2 linked regions of the Lepisosteus oculatus genome follow. The protein of the gene in region 2 interacts with the protein of the main gene of each other region in a pairwise test. Links are inferred from orthologs where the notes say so. Each region holds a gene or a part of one and is shown on either strand. Other genes may lie near its edges.

Region 1 (8,474 bases), on a different chromosome or scaffold from region 2:
CAGCTCCTGTCCATAGACAGCGGAAGCAGGCTTCAAAGCAGGAGGTCCCTGGCCATGTCCTGGGCCCTCCAGCACCTGCTACCTTTCACGCAAAGTGCTTTCCTGTGTGTATCAGCTGCAGTCTGTTAAATCATTCCCGCTCAGGGGTGCTTGGAGCCCAAACAGCTATTTTAACAACAACTTTTTTTCCTCTTTCTGGGAAAAAAAACATAACAATTAACCTCAAAAGGAGAGCAAAGGTACTTTATGTCAAAGGGAGTAAAACATAGAAGCTATTTGTTATTTGTAATACCTGACTTATTTTTGCTTACAATATATAAATCAGTAACTTTTCTTAAAATACTGTCACAATTCACAAAACATGGAAAATTTTCTTGGGGACTTGAGGGATGAGGGAACATTTCCATCCACATCAGTCCGGGATTGACTTTATGGTGAGTGATTGGAGTGGCCCTGCAGTGGGAAATAAGCTGGGACACACAGGCCCTGGTTGCCTGGAGACTCACCTGAGGCCGAGACAGGCTCCTCCAGGATGACATTTCCGCCTGGCTTCAGCACTCGGCCGATCTCCGCCAAGGTCTCTGAGCTGTGGATGACAGTGCTGTCCGGCAGCAGGCCGGACAGGACCCAGTGGAAGCTGGACTCCGGGTGAGAGGCTGCAGGGACAGGAGAAGATCAGGAGATTCTATGATTCCAGTCCAGCTATGTCAGAACGTCATTCATTTGGCTAAATGATGTGGCCAGTGGGTATAAAGCTCACCTTCATGGACGATGCAGTAATTATGGACAACTTTCATTGATTTTCAAAACAAACATATATATTTTTACTGAACAGAAAATCACAAAAAAATGAAAAAATCTGTTTGTTTCAGGACTATGGATACAAAATTTAAATGAGTAGTTGCTATCTTTTTTAGACATGGGGACATATTATAATACGTGATTCAGGCATTAGTATTAGAATTAAATGCCCTAGGAATTATGAATTAACTAGAATTATGTTGGATAATTTCATTTTGAAATGTAGCCATACAAAAACGAAAAGTCTTGACAATCAGGTCATAAACAGGTGACACAACACCAAGCTCAAAAGCACCTGACACCAACACAGCGACTCCTGGATTTTGCATTCCGAAATGCCCAAGACAGATTTTTAAACAATTAGGCTGACAATACCCCAGGCAGGAAAGTGGGGTATGTCAAGGGACCTCAAGTGGAAAATTCCCACATATGGGGGCATTACTAAATACATCGGCTCTCTGAACAGTAGCAACAGGTACAAAATGCTGCTACACTCTTCAAAAAACAAAAACAGGTTTCACACCATGATTCTTCAAAAGGCTTCCAAATGCAGAAATGAATCAACTGCTTGTACTGCCTCTATGTGGTACAGCTCCTATAGTGTGCCCAGAGCTACTGAGCCTTTTTAAAGTTAACATGGGTTTGTGAAGTAATACTCACACAGCCGTAGTCTGTCAATGTTTTCTATTGCCACCTTGCCCTGGGATCCCACTGCTTTCTGCAGGCTCTCCACCTGCTCCTTCACTGCCGTGGGGCTGGATGGGTGACCCCACATCAGCAGCAGGCTCTGCCCTGCCTGCACGCCCAGCTCTGCCATACCTCTGTCCTGCAGGCACAGCCGAAAAGACTGCTCAGTCTCAGACCTCCAGTCCCCGGACGAAGGTTTCAAACTCACAAGACAAGCAATGCTGTTAGGTCCACAGAAGGAAATTCCCAGCCCTAACGGACTGCCCTAAACAGACAGATTCACAGAACTCAAAACTTTAGTCTTGAGCAACTAGCATGACTATCCAGGACCTGAAAATGAAGGGTGCTAGAGCTCATAAGTCCTGAGGTCTTCTGCTCAGAATTAAATTAGAATAATAAACTGAATTGTTAAAAAAATTATATTTAAGTATTTACATCAGTGAGCTCTAATATGAGCCTGTGTCCAGAATCTTAGGGCCATGGTAAACCCTACACAACTGCTAGCTGTAATTGCCTTCAGTAATTGGTAGCCAGTTTTCCAGTTAACCCTGGTCAATTTATAGCTGATAATTAAAAAAGGGTGTTTTCAAAACCTTCCATTGTGCATCTCAATCACGCCTGCATCAGATTTTACGATACTTGGGTTTGTATTTGGATCAGACCGTCGTGCAGCTGAGCTTAAGTTTCACAAGCTTCTTGTCGATTTCAGATGTCGAATACAGGCCCAGTCAACTGGCCACACTGGTGTAGAGATGCCAGTGAAAACCGAAAGGGCCCAAATTAAGACATCCAGCGTGAAACTAACAGGACAACATTCAAAATTGATTTTTTTCCTGCAGTGCCGAGATCTTAACTCTCTAAATTCTTATAAAATTCCAAAATTATCAAAAGACAGTAATTCATTGTCTGTTGTCATTTAACCTTCAAATTTAATTTCCCACACGAGAAGAATATTTTGAGACCGTATTATGCTTTGAAAAACCTCCCCGTCAGCCTGGATAATTAGAGGACAGGTGCAGAAGTGAGTCAGCGCTTCAGGGTGATTCGAGAGACGTTCCTATTGGTTTCAGTTTTTATCTGTTTTCCTCAGGCGTTTGTAAAGAAGCTGGCTGACAGTGTCGACGTCGGGACTGAGATCGCAGCATGTAAACAAGCTTCTCCAGACGCAGTTGCTTTTACTGCAACCCACTCCAATCGCCTTACAAATCCGAATCTGAGCGGGGGCACCAATTAAATGTCCCTTCCGAACCCCATCCCGCCGGCATTTGAGCGATTAAAACTACAGGGAGTCTAGTTAAGCAGTAACATTTCACGTTCGGTAAAAAAATAGAGAGAAAAGCAGATTCCGGCTGTACAAGTACACTCAAGACAAAGCCCTTAACGCACAGATCACGTGCTTATTCAGGTTGTGTCACGTCCCAAAACTCCCATCGTGTGCGGTAGAGCTACAAAATAGATTTATTTGTAATCTGTAGCATGCCTTTCAACCAATGTTGATTTTAGCTGCACTTATCCTGAGTGAGCTGTATCAGAGCAGAATTCCCTTTCTCATTTCACAGAAACACGATGCTTATCATCAAAGAATCATAGCTGAAGAAACTGTGTTCGGACCAAACGTGATGATCTACACTAATCATAAAATGTCTCTGGACATGTAGCGGCCCCCAGCAAACAAATCGTAGTTCAAACCATTCTAATGAATTCGATATATCACACGACCTTTCCACTTACCTGAATCTTCAGTTGTCCTTGGTTATGAACTGACATACAACTCTCGTCCAACGATGTTTTATGAGTGAACCTGCGCAGAGTATTATATTAATCTTACTGAAACACGGTAAGATAAAGACCGGTTTTTGTAACAAACCTAGCCAACACTTCGCTTACTCGGCTCTCTCTTCTTCTGCCGATCCGAAGCCGGGAAGATCGCTGACGTCTTTACCGAGAGGCGGCCGGAGACTGAAAGAGTCGCAAGCGAATGACGTGCGGCAGTTGTGGTGGGATATGGCGGCGCTGCTCAGAGGTTGGAGAGCCGGGAGGGTTTTGTGGGCCTTGCGAACTGGTGAGAGAGGGAGAATCCGGCGGGCTGGGACTGGGGTTATAGCCTCCGATCTGGGGTGCGGGACGGGCAACATGTTCCTGCTGGTAGTCTGGTGACCCCTCTGGAACCTGGGTCTGAATCTGAGACTAGCAAGGTGATCGTGAAGGACAGTCTGCATTGTTGTTCCTATGGATTCAGAGTTTTAATGAAACAATTGTTTTTGTTTTAATGCGCGCATATAACACATATACGTGTAAACTGATCAATTGATAAATCCTGATCAGTGTAAGATATATTAATGTAGCAGTGCGTTATACATTTGTTCCGTGACGACTCGTAGTTACATACTTGTTGTGTAACTAAAACAACTGGAAAGTTAAACAGACGAACCCCGCGTATATTGTTTTGATTTCTTCTTACGGCGAACGCCAAATGTATATTGTTTTAGTTCTTTTTACGTTCCCGTAGTTTCTATGCCTACCTATCGCTAAATGCGAGTTGCGCCTTTGTGACAACACTTTGTTTACAAGCTTAGCGTGGGGGCAGTCAAGGAAATGTATAAAGTACGTCAGTCAATGACCTGTAAAGACAGTGATGTCATGAAACGTAGAGCTGGAAATGTTTGCAGTTAGAACAATACCATCTCCGGTCGCCTGACGCAAACAACCGAAAACACCTCCGCTCCAGGATGCTCGGAGAAAATGCTCGTTTTAAGAGAAGCCAAGTTTAAACCCCCTTACCTTCAGCTTGCTCTCCTAGAGGCTTCACAAAGGCACCAGCATTTAAAAATCCTGTGCAATTCTTCTCTCCTTGCCTACCTAGCACACAGAAGCCAGTGTCCCCATGTGAAGAGGCGTTTCCACAGAGCTGCGCTGCTGAGATTGCAGGAGGACTCCAAGCAGGAGCAGACAGCCTCTTCCTCCTCTTATCACCAGCACTACCAGGCGTCACCTGGCTCCGAGTCCTCACAGACTAACACCAGGTCTGCTCCCAGCCTGGACTGGCTGTGTCTGGGCTCTCTTATCTGTACTGGATTTGGATGTTGTTGTGAAAGGAATATTCCATATGGATAGCGTGTAGCTGGCTCACGTGTTAACATATGTTGATTGTTAGTGGATAGGTTCCCACTTTGCCATTGCAAATGGGATATCTTCAGCCATTTCTTTTTGAGCCCCTACATTTTCCTTTATATTTATGGGCTGGGGACTGCTCAGGTGCCGTTAGTGTAGCAGGTGGTGGTTCTGTGCAGCGGCAGACCCTCACTCCCACTGCCTTCGTGTGTGTCTGTGCAGCTATGCAGACCAGAGCGGCGAGCAGGGGGAGGATTACGAGACGGAGGAGCAGCTGCAGAGCCGCATCCTCGCGGCCGCACTCGACTTTGTGCCGCAGCACGGTTGGTCAGTGGACGCGATCGCGGCGGGAGCACAGGTGATCCCGGAGCGCGCATGTATGTGTGCCCTTGAGCATGTGTGCACATGCGCCGGCCCGTGAGAGGGCTTCCACAGAGCTTGAGCAAACACTCGAGGTGCTAATGCAAACCACTCACATGGAGGCATTCCGTGAAACATTATTTTAATCACGCATTTTATAATGCATTTCTTGGAAGAAAACATTGCATGCATCTATCTTTATTGGTTATAGTATGACAGATGTTATTGTAGGTTTGGAGTTTTCTTTAACACTTAATAATGAAATATTAATAATAGTATTAAAAGAAGGTTTAGGGAATAAGACATAAATGAAAGAAACTGTTGTCCCATTTCTTCAGTTACAGAGAGCAGCTTGCTGTAGTCAGAGGATGAGGATGATAGACTCATCACTGACCATTGCGTTCTGTCTCTTGGTCTGTCAGGCTCTGGGTCTGTCCGCAGCAGCTGCAGGGATGTTCACCAACGGCGCCGGAGACCTAGTCCTGCACTTCATCACTCAGTGTAACACCCGCCTGGCCGACAGTCTGGCGGAGCAGCACAAGCAGGTCCAGCTGGGCCAGGCCGAGTGAGTCACCCCCCCCACCCAGTCCAAGCCTGCGGGTGTTTGTGGTGTGCTGTGTGATCGGGACAGTGGCTGCTGCACTCTTGCAGTGTGCCTAGTTGTTCTGGAAGGGAGTAATAACCTATTTCCAGAAATGAGGAAATGGTCTTTTTTTTTCTCAGATGCTGCGGCTTTTTGACATTGCTCACTTTTTGGTGCTTGGAGTTTCATACCTATTACCCATGTGAAAACTGCTTGTTTCAAAGTGGCAGGGCCTTGTATACCCATTTATTGTTCTGACAACTGTGGATCTTCTCTGTTTGAGACAATCATTTAATGCTAGGGATAGTCTTGTCTGTTATCTCTTAAACACACAGTCATAAAATTCAAGAATAACACACAGAGTGAAAGGACAAAGGGACTCTCCTCCTGAATGCAAATATTGAACACATGTTTGTCCCCAATCAGCTGTTCTTCAACAACATGTTGCAACTGACCCAGTGTGCAGCTTCTTTGTGGTCTTTGTGTGGGTAAAAGTGTGGGTGTGTTTTTGTGTCAGGTCAAAGAAGCCTGCTGAGTTTCTGAGAGAAGCAGTGGAAATGAGACTACGCATGCTCATCCCATACATCGAAACCTGGCCGCAGGTACTGTGTTGTGTACTGGGGAAAGGAGCTTCTGATTTCATGGCTGACGGCAGTCCTAGGACGAGGGGGGAGTTTTTTTGGAACGGGAGGTGTAGCTGTTCTCCTGAAAAATGGTATTCTTTTTCCCTCCCCGTCGCCAGGCCATGAGCATCCTGCTGCTGCCCCAGAACATCCCTGAGAGCCTGAAGCACCTGTCCACCCTGGTGGATGACATCTGGTACTACGCCGGGGACCGCTCTACTGATGTGAGTGCGGTCACGTCATTCTGCAGCATGTTTCCAAACATGGCCATGATCTCTCACTGCTGTAGCACGATTAGGTGATTAATAATGCTATAATTTTAGCATCCCCACTACACACTGCTTTTGACAACTAAATGAGAAGGGTGAACCAGACAACCTAGATGAATCTGTAACTTTTTGTAGTGTTCTTCTGTGCCAGTCTGGTAAGTGGTGTGATTGTGTGCCCACAGCTGAACTGGTACACACGACGTGCAGCCCTGACCGGCATCTATAACACCACAGAGCTGGTGATGGTTCAGGATTCCTCTCCCGACTTCCAGGACACCTGGACCTTCTTGGACAACCGCATTAAAGACGTGATGAACATGGCCAACACTGCCCAGCAGGTGCTGATCCCTGAGGGAAAACACACATCTTTTTGACCACATGTGCTCTGACCGCCTCCCTGGTATTGTTCCCCAGCTCTGAAGAATTCTTCACCTGATGCAGAGACCCATAAGCAACTAGCTTTTTTAGTTGGTCTTTAACTCCTCAGGTGTTAAAGAACTGGGAAACATCCCTGCGGATGATTGAATAGGTTTGTTCTTGTGCTTAGAAGCTGAATGAACAGTGAAACACGAACCAGAGGACACGCAGGTGGAAACTAGGTGGAAGTGCATTTAAAATTGAGACCAGCAGGCAGTTCTTTACCCAGAGTGATGTGGAAGCCTGGAACGAGACACCCATCCACACTGGTGCAACTGATACCCAGGTTTCTTTAAAGAAACGCTAGGATGAGATCTTTGGATCAATTAACTGCTGACCACCAAATGGGCAGCATGAACCAAATGTCCTAGTCTTGTTTGTAACCTTTCTCGTGTTCTAAGCTGAGAGCACAGGTCAGATGAAAAGCAGAACCTCCAGAACTTGTGATACTCTGGAATCATGCACAACACTCTCATGGCAATCAAATTTTCCCAGTAATGACCAAGCTTCAGACTGCAGGATCTGGGCAATGAGCTTGGCTATTTTACCTTGCAGTTCTGTAGCATTAGAGGTGCTGAGAGCAGGAACCCTGCTGGAGTCTGGATCTCAGTGGTACTGTTTTGTGAATTTCTCATTTGTTCATTTAACAGTGTTTTAGGTAACACATGCTCCAAGTTTGAAAGACTGACCTCTCCAGAATGCCCTCTGACAAATCTTTTTGTAACTAATGTGTTGCTATGAAAACATTGGAATTATTTGTCCTCTTAGTTTGGTCTTTATTCACTGTTCAGTTTGCAGCATGGCTACGTGGCTGTACATATGGTACAGTAGATATCACTACACAGGTTTGCTTTGTGTACTTTGCTGATGGTCGGCCTATGTCTTTACAGGTTAAATCCACTGGGGAAGCTGTGGTACAGGGGATTATGGGAGCTGCCATCACTGTAAGTTGTTTCTCTTGCTCACTGGTTCATCTCAGCAATTTTCCTAGTATCAGATGGCTATTTTTTGGACTCTCACTCCAAGCAGTGTGTGTAAGGATCACACCATTTAACCAGTTTGCTTTGGGAGAAGGAAGGAAATATGTATAAAACAAAAAGCACTTACAGGGTTTGATATTTGCAGTCTTTAATTGATTTAATTTAGACCAATCACCATTTTAGTTTTTTTGCTTTTGTTTTCTTTCTTTGATTTAATTTAGCCTTAATTAATTAATTTGGAAATTTCCAAATCTCAGTTAAGTGGTCAGAACAGAGAATTTTACATGAAGTGAAACAAATGCAAGCTAAATTAATGCAGCTTAGCATGTGTTTTTCACTCTTCATTCCAGATCCATGTTCATTTTGGCTGCTATTTTTTAGTTGAAAGAAGATTTGTATTTCATTGCACAGACTGAGTTTGAAGAGGACAAAGAGAACCAGACTGGACCTGGGACACTTTATCCTTTTCCATTTCTGTTGTTTTGCAGCTGAAGAACCTTTCGGGGATGAACCAGCGGCGGTGATTTGGTCCTGCCCATCAGAACGGCTCATCCCTCTCCCCAGCTCAGCCCGTGCACACACTGACAGACGACTGTCCTCTCCCCTGTCCAGGAACCAGCACAACACACTCCTGCGCTCCTGC
Region 2 (8,442 bases):
TAGCTATCAACACGATTCATTTTTAAGATTTTTAAAACCTAAGGGGTCAAACAACAACAAAAAAAGGTTACACCTCGTTGGGTGTGTCAAGAAAAGAAGGGAGTGCTCTCCTTTATCGATACAAAGCTAACAGTGCCCTCACGGGGATTCAACAATTCTATTTCCCTACGTTTCCGCGCGGAAAAAGGACCGTGCTGCAATTCATACTCGCCCCACACTACAACTACAAGTTCCAGAATGCACCGCTTCCCCAGCAGGGATTCCCGACTCTGTTTCCGGCTTTGTTTGCCTCGCTCGCTCACCAGAGCTTCGTCAGCTGACGAGAAGCCCCGCTTGCGCCCCAGGCTGTCTGCACCCGAGTTCGCAGCAGCAGCAGGAGGAGGAGAGAAGGCAAACAGCCCACAATGAAATTAGCTAAACGTCCTGGGCACGTCTGCGGCTGGTGAATGGTAATCTGTCGCCTGCCCTGTCTCCTCGTAGTTGACACCTGGAGAAGCACTCCGAGCTCTTCTTCAATGCTCTGATGTTGTTGTTGTTGTTGTTGCCGCACACGGCGTGCTTGCTTGGCACGCCACGGGAAAACGACGTTGGCTAGCTCCGTCGACCCTTAATGGTAGTAAGCACGGCACGGTTTTGGCACGGCACGGCACGACGCGCATCTGCGCCGGTCGCCGGGACAGCCTTGGGCTACCGCAAAGCCCAGGAGCTCGGGTCGCCGCGTTTCTGCCAAACCCGTTGCCGGGAAGGCGTGTTGGGAGGCCCCGGTTCATTCGTTGTCTGTATTTTGTTTTTTGTATCGAAGGCGTCCCGAAGGATGGAGCAGTCCGAGGAACAGGAGGCGCTGCTGGGGGCCGGGCGCGGAGGCGTGAACTCGCCGCCTCTGTCCGAGGCGGACAGCACCCGGGAGGGCTACCTCGAGTAAGTACGAGCATCTGGGGGGTGCCTCGTTTATTACAGTTCAAAATGAAAATGCCCCGGCGTTAAGGGTGGCCGGCGTTTGCTCAGCTTGCCCCTTGGGTGAGATAGTCCGGTATAGCGGTTTATACCTCGGGGGGTGAATTCTCGTCGACAGTGAGGCGAGAGGATCGAAACCCTGACTTGCCAGTTCTGCTTTATGGGGCGAGCTGTAAAATACAGAAGTGAAGAGGTTATCATCGGCCATCGGCGCTGTTGTGGGTGCCGATAAACCGAAAACACGATGTCGATCCCCCCCCCAAGCCGGTGCGCGGTCCTCTAAATTTGCAGGCTGGCGAAAGACGCTCCTCTTGTCAGGTGGGCGCTTGGCGTCACCCCTGTCGATGGTAATTTAGAGCTCAAGTATGTAGCTTGAACTAAAACCTGACGGTATTTAGGTCAGTGGCAGCCCCCCCCGCAGAGAAATGCTGTAGTCATGTGATTCACATGTGATAGTTCACCTACACTGTCCCACAAAGACGCTTTGACCATTAGGGGTCGTGTTTGAGGTCCTGGAGTAGGCTGCACCAAAAATCTTTGTCGGGAAAAACGTGGGGGGGAAGCCAAGCTTATTCAGGTCTTTTTTCATATTTCTTTTTCCCCTTCTCCCCCCTCCCTTAATGAGCAATTGATTGCTCCGGGTCTTGTTTTCATTTCTTTAAAATAAATTATCCTTACTTGGCATCCAGACCAAACAGATGACTTGGGAAAACAAAACAAAAAAAGCAGTATTACAGCATCTGGGGTGTGCACGTACAATGTGTTACTCTCGTCAATCATTAATAAATTCCCTGACTCATTTAACTGCATAAAGAGGCGTTCAGAACCTTTGCCTGTGTTTCCCTTGAAGTTCAGGAAAACAGTTGATTGTCCTTTGTCTGCTGCTGTGCGCTGTAGCGTTCTCTTTGCCCGCTAACGGCCGCTAACGTAGCGGTGCTTGTGTAACCGGTGAGACAGGATGCCGTCTCAGACGTGCGTGAGCCACGCTCGTCACCTCCCGCGCTGCAATAGCGAAGGCGCAGTCAGGACATACAGCGCAGTTAAAACGGTAGAACCTGGATCGACAAGCGTATTGTTAAAACTCTACATAACCCGTCAGTTTAGAATGTTGTGCGTTGATAGGATTTTGATCACCGCAGTCCAGAAAAGGCAGCGCTGCTCTGGAAGCGGTCCGGAGCAGAGCGACTAGGTCTTTGGTTTGAAAGAATGACCTACACTGACCCCAGTGTCCTGGCCAAATTTCCCCCTGGCCTTTACCAGTCACGGCCTCCTAATAACCCCCCTCTCTGAACTGGCTCCATCACTCTGTTCTCCTCCCCACTGAGAGCTGGTGTTTGGGGAGCGGACTGGCACATCATCCAGGTGGGGCTGCACACTGGTGGCGGTAGTGGGATCCCCCATTACCTGTAAAGCTCTTTGAGTGGAGAGTCCAGAAAAGCGCTATCTAAGTGTAAGCAGTTATATTTTATTAATGCCCCCCCCCTCCCCAACGCCAAGCCCCGTGACTGATCCAACCCCCCCCTCTGTGGAGAAAACCTGCGTGTTCAAATCCTGCTGTGCCCCCCTGAGCCGATGCTGTGTTTTCCAGTCAGGTCCAGAATGGGAACCTGTTCCTGGCCACCTTCGCCGCCGTGCTCGGGCCCCTCAGTTTCGGCTTCGTGCTGGGCTACAGCTCCCCCGCCATCCCCAGCCTCAAGAGGGCCGGGGACCCCCGCCTGCAGCTGGACGACGAGGAGGCGTCCTGGTTCGGGGTAGGGCTTTCTTTTTCTGGGTGCGCTCGATTTAAGGGGCAGGGGATCGAAAATTGATCTGTAATAAGGCCGATCAGTGCGTCTCCCTTGCACAGGACAGAGAAGCGTTTGCAAAGCGTCCTCGAGCTTTGGAAAGGTGCTTTATAAGTTAAAAATTATTATTATTATTATTATTATTATTATTATTATTATTATTGAGTCTTACCTTCCGAAAGCAGACGCGTCCCCAGGCGCTGAGCTGTGTTTGCCGAAGGCAGTGCTGGGAAAACACCAGCTCTTCCTGGGATTCCTGGGCGGGTGGCGGATTTGAAAGTGGGGTGCGTCGGGGCAGAGTTTTTTCTGGGTTCTGGGTAACACTGGAGTACAGAGTGACGGACGACTCGTTTTCTTTAACCCTGAAACACACACCGCCAGTTTTTTACACCAAGACGAAAATTCAGGCCGGAAAGGGTTAAAAACTCCTGCCGCCTGGACCTTCGACCTCTGACCTCTGACCTCCGCGCCTGTCCGTGTCTCCCCGTGTGCGTCCCCAGTCCGTGGTCACTCTAGGGGCGGCGGCGGGGGGGGTGCTGGGCGGCTGGGTGGTGGAGAGGATCGGGAGGAAGCTGAGCCTCATGGTCTGCGCCGTCCCCTTCATCCTCGGCTTCAACATCATCATCTCCGCGCAGAACATCTGGATGCTGTACCTCGGACGGGTCCTGACCGGACTGGCCAGCGGGGTGACGTCCTTAGCAGTGCCTGTATGTAAAGCAGCAGCAGGGATAATGAGAGTAAACGCAGTGACGCAGAACATATTAGCAGTCTTAATGAGGCCAATGACTTATGTCTTGTCTGATATGAAAAACCACTTTGTTCTCGTATGTAAATTCCTTATTAATGCATATTAATAAGGGGGTCAGTTGTTCGTTTGTAGTGCCTCTGCAGAGATAACATTATAGTAATAAAAGGGGTCTGTTTAATAGTTTTGCCAGAAGGGAGGGGGGGGGCTGCTCTTTTTCCCTCCAAAGAGGTCGAGTTTGGGTTTCAGGAGAGTTGAACGCGTCCGATTGCAGGGAAAAACGGCTCCGTTGGAAACAGTTGCCGGGGGAGGCCAGCGGACAAACCCGAGCAGCGGGTTTCCCAGCATCCCTGGGCCTTGCCGCGGTTACCGGGCGGGCGGCATGAAAGTTGAATTAAATATCGGGTGAAGTGTCGTTCTCTGCCCCGCGGGCTCCTAGCGCTCTGCACAGAGGCCCAGGGTATGGCCTGGGGGTGGGGGTGGGGGGGTTTGTCAGCTCAACGGGAAGTTTCGAAACCTTTAACGACGCTTGAATTCTGAGTGCTGCCGCTACGTCTGCTTCACTGATCGCACGGTCTGCCCCCCCAGTTGTACATCGCGGAGACGGCTCACGCCCGGGTGCGGGGCATGCTGGGATCCTGCGTTCAGCTCATGGTGGTGACGGGCATCATGGGAGCGTACATCGCAGGTAAACCGTTCGGATTGTCCGTTTTCTTTGTTCCCCCCCGTGGTGCGCTTCCTGTCCTCCTTTCCGCTCTCTGTGCCTTGCGACTGGGGTACGAACCGTGTTCTCACAAGACTCTTGAGTCTCAGACTCCTTGTTCGCACCCGTGCCATCCCGGAGTTTGGTTTTCACCTCGCGGCTGAACGGAGAGACGGGATCACTCTGTGCTGTTGGTGGGGTTTACCTGGCTGTCGTTGCCCCCCCCTCTGGTCCCGATCCGATCCACGAGGCGGGGAGTGGCGTGGTAACGAGCGACCCGGTTGCGTCTCTCCCCGCCCAGGTCTGGTGCTGGAGTGGCGCTGGCTGGCGGTGGCGTGCTCGGTGCCGCCGGCGCTGATGCTGGTGCTCATGTGCTTCATGCCCGAGACGCCGCGCTTCCTGCTGGCCCAGGGGAGGGAGTACGAGGCGCTGGCGGCCCTGCGCTTCCTGAGGGGGCCGGCCGTGCCGCACGAGTGGGAGTGCGTGCAGATCGAGGCCGCGGCGCGGGAGCAGGTGAGTCGGGGGGGGGGGGGCACCTTGCCAAGACTGTAAAGATGAAGTTATGATATTATTATCATTATTAATCCCTCACACTTGCTGTATATGGCACTTTTCTGGACACTCCACTCAAAGCGATTTACAGGTCATGGGGAATCCCACTGCCGCCACCAATGTGCAGCCCCACCTGGATGAGGCGCCAGTACGCTCCCCCCACACCAGCTCTCAGTGGGGATGTGAGCAGAGTGATGAAGCCAGTTCAGAGACGGGGATTATGAGGAGGCCATGATTGGTAAAGGCCAGGGGGAAATTTGGCCAGGACACCCCTACTCTTTTTGAGAAACGCCCTGGGATTTCTAATAACCATAGAGAGTCAAAACCTCAGTTTTACATCTCATCCGAAGGACAAGTATAGTGTCCCCGTCACTGTACTGGGGCATTAGGGCCCACGCAGACTGCAGGGTGAGCGCCCCCTGCTGGCCCCTCTTACACCTGTTCAGCCTGTCCCGGCCTCGGGGTGCACGCTCAGTGCAGCGGAGAGCGGCGCTGAGTTGCGCCACGCTGTTTGCATGCCGTCTGTCTGGGCCCCATTTGCTGTTTAACGCGTTTCCCTCCCTCCCACCCCCTCGGGTGTCGCAGGGCGACAGCCTCAAGCTGGGAGACCTGAGGAGCCCTGCCATCTACAAGCCCCTGCTCATCGGGGTCCTGCTGATGTTGTTCCAGCAGCTCACGGGGATCAACGCCATCATGTTCTACGCCGAGACCATTTTCGAAGAAGCAAACTTCCAGGTAGCTGCCCCTCGCCCTCCCCCCCTTTGCCGTCACGCCACAGACACAGTCTGGGCTCCTCGTGTCGCCCTCGCCCCTCCACCCCACCCCGCCAGTTCGTCCCGCAACACCTGGGGCGCGAACCCGGGTCTCCCGGCGTGACGCCACAGGGAACCAGCCGAGTGAGCTAAAGGAGACCCCCCCCCAGCCCAGGTGGCTGAGGTCCCTGCGACGCACGAGGAGGGAGATGGCGTGGCCGCGCCCGAACGAGCTCCGCTGACGCCTCCCGTTTTCCCTTCCGCGTTGGCCGGGTGCGGCAGAGTGCGGTGGACATCCCCCGTGGGCGTTGTCAACGTTTTACCAGTTCCCTCGATATTTCCGTTCCTTTGCTTGGACGCTCATCTTCAGCTCAAGAAACGAACTGAAGTCAGCCAGGAGAAGGTTAACGAGGGAGAGCCTGTGTCACTGTTAATGAGTAAACCTCAAGTCTGGTGCCAGAACCCAGCATCCTTGTTCGCAGACGTCCCCGTGTTTCCGGAGTAGTCCGTGACCGCCTGTAAATTCCATAGGCATCCCCTCAGGGTGCCGTGTCCAGGCTGGTGTTGGGAACAGCAGCCCAACGTACTCAAATATCGCTCCGCTGTCCGCAGTTTCCCCACTGCGGTGTCCTGGGGGGGGAAGAACCCGGATGGTTACGGAGTGCTGACCGGCGACCGTGGTGCAGTACGTTGCATGCCGGGTGCCGCTCCTTCGATGGGGAAGGACATATTTCTCGAGCTCCGTACTCGACTTTCGGGCCGGCCATGTGCGGGAACACCCCCCCCCTCCCCTCCCTGCTCTGGCTGGAGGACCGGGAGGTGGGGGGAGGCATCTCCCAAGGCTGTAGACGGCCGAGGGAGCCCCGCCGGATCGATCCGCAGGCCGGATTCCAGGGATCGGTGCCATGAGCTTAACGGCGGGTTGTTTTTTTTTGTTTGTTTCAAAAGGCCAGCAGCGTCGCCACGGTGATCGTGGCTGCCATCCAGGTGGTCTTCACGGCCCTGGCGGCGCTCATCATGGACCGGGCCGGGAGGAAAGTCCTGCTCGTCCTCTCGGGTGAGTCTCTCCGGGGCCGATGCGGTCTCTGACTTTTAACGCAGACTGTTACATTGATCCTGCAAAGCACCAGCAGTTAAATAATTAATCGTAATTATACCCTTACACTTACACCACGCTTTTCTAGATACTCCACTCAAAGCACTTTACAGGGAATGGGCAATCCCACTGTCACCACCAATGTGTAACCCCCCCCCACCTTGATGATGCGATGGCAGCCAGAGTGCCTCAGTCCGCTCCCCACACACCAGCTCTCAGAGGGAGGAGAGCAGAGAGGGGGGTTATTAGGAGGCCATGACTGGTAAAGGCCAGGGGGGAATCTGGCCAGGACACTGGGGTTACACTGTTACGCACAGTGTGTGATTGGTATTGTACTGGGCTTGCAGGGAAGATCCAATTAACAAATTGTCTTTGTGTTGTATTAAGCAGAGTTCCAAGTCTTGCCCTGTAGAGGGCGCTAGTCCATTGTCAGTAATGCCGATATTCCTGTATACACGTGGGGCTGACTGGAGCATTCGGGGTGCAGTACCTGGCTCATGTGGGGTACAATGTCCACAGCAATATCTGTGCTGGAGACTTGAACCCCCGGTACCCCTGCATTGCCCAGGACTGAGCGCCCCCCCCCCGGGCTGGTGATGGTAATGCTGGCTGTCCTTCTCCCCCACCGTGTGTCCGCAGGGTTGGCCATGGCGGTCAGCACGGCCGTGTTTGGGGCGTACTTCAAGATCACCAGCGCCGCGCCCACCAACGGCTCCTCTCTGAGCGGGGTCCCCCTCCTGGCCGCCCAGAGCTCTGCGCTGCCCCCCTCTGAGGGCAGCCTGGCCTGGCTGGCCCTGGCCAGCATGGGGCTCTTCATCGCAGGTACAGCCTCAGGAAGACTTGGCCTCCAAAACCAGGGTTCTTTTTTCTCAAGATTCGCGTTCGCAGAGAAAATCCGGGAACGGGACTGTGCCCACGCTGCTCCCACCCATGGTCACCCTGAGCCCCACAGTGCATTATGGGATGCCTCGCACTCACCCCGCCTCCTTCTCACACACCCCAGTTTAGAGAATTGTGACCTGCACTCGGGTGTATTCTATGATTTTTCATTTAAAAACAAGAGGGTCGAAAAAGGACCGGGCTATTCCTCCGTCATTATTTTTCACGTTGCGGCCACTGAAACGCAGTAGCTCTGCGGGCAGATCCGAACGCCTACTGCGTAGCGTCAGGAGGCGCGAGCGTCCAAACGCCACGGCCCCCACGACGCGTTCAGAACCCAACCTTGCCAGCCGGATGGCTGGAGTAGTTCCTGCTTGGGGGCGCTGGTGACCCCGTTCGTTGGGACGCCCCCCCTTCTTCAAACCGCTTATTCCAATTCAGGATCGCGGGGCAGTCGGAATCTATCCCAGCAAGCACCGGGCGCGAGGCAGGGCACGCCCTGGATGGGACGCCAGTCTATCGCGGGGCACACACAGACACTCGCGCCGGGGCCAGTTGTCCCAGAAGGCAGCGCGTCTCTGGCCTGTGGGAGGAAACCTACATGAAGTGGAAAGAACGTGCAAACTCCACACAGACGGCACACTAGAATAGCTGAATAGAACCCGGGGCCGGGAGCTGCTGTACCGCCCCACCTCTCCTTCACCTTCTGCGTTTCTCCCCCGTGCCCCAGGTTTCGCCCTGGGCTGGGGCCCCATCCCCTGGCTGGTGATGTCGGAGATCTTCCCGGCGAAAGCCCGGGGGCTGGCCAGCGGGGCCTGCGTGCTGACCAACTGGACCTCGGCCTTCCTGGTGACCAAGGAGTTCCACAACCTCATGGTGAGCGGGGGGGGCCAGCGACACCCGGGGTTCGGGCGTTGTGCGACAAGGGGGCTTTCGTGGGGCCAAAACGTTGGGGAAATCTGGGAGCAGCCCGAGTC

Evidence for each region.
Region 1: the proteins of ndor1 (region 2) and ciapin1 interact in binary tests that used the Homo sapiens proteins (3 or more experiments, as listed by UniProt). The two-hybrid records come from large-scale screens. The link is inferred for Lepisosteus oculatus from reciprocal best matches to the Homo sapiens genes NDOR1 and CIAPIN1.

The regions. Positions count from the first base shown.
Region 1 is NC_090715.1:12,268,714-12,277,187, reverse strand, and holds the start of ciapin1 (anamorsin), read right to left. Parts: upstream 3,705-8,474; 5' UTR 3,624-3,704; coding exon 3,376-3,623; exon of another isoform or gene 3,356-3,375; intron 3,290-3,355; coding exon 3,220-3,289; intron 1,628-3,219; coding exon 1,462-1,627; intron 657-1,461; coding exon 507-656; intron 1-506. Other genes in the region: coq9 (ubiquinone biosynthesis protein COQ9, mitochondrial), read left to right, coding at 5,412-5,524, 6,060-6,144, 6,285-6,389, 6,617-6,772, 7,742-7,795, 8,320-8,355. UniProt on the Homo sapiens protein: Component of the cytosolic iron-sulfur (Fe-S) protein assembly (CIA) machinery required for the maturation of extramitochondrial Fe-S proteins.
Region 2 is NC_090719.1:2,813,555-2,821,996, forward strand, and holds the start of ndor1 (NADPH-dependent diflavin oxidoreductase 1), read right to left. Parts: upstream 3,443-8,442; 5' UTR 3,379-3,442; coding exon 3,201-3,378; intron 3,101-3,200; coding exon 2,911-3,100; intron 2,706-2,910; coding exon of another isoform or gene 2,543-2,705; intron 1,125-2,542; coding exon 1,047-1,124; intron 919-1,046; coding exon of another isoform or gene 803-918; intron 450-802; coding exon of another isoform or gene 447-449; exon of another isoform or gene 303-446; intron 1-302. Other genes in the region: slc2a8 (solute carrier family 2, facilitated glucose transporter member 8), read left to right, coding at 447-449, 803-918, 2,543-2,705, 4,072-4,171, 4,488-4,699, 5,324-5,473, 6,439-6,547, 7,226-7,408 and 1 more. UniProt on the Homo sapiens protein: NADPH-dependent reductase which is a central component of the cytosolic iron-sulfur (Fe-S) protein assembly (CIA) machinery.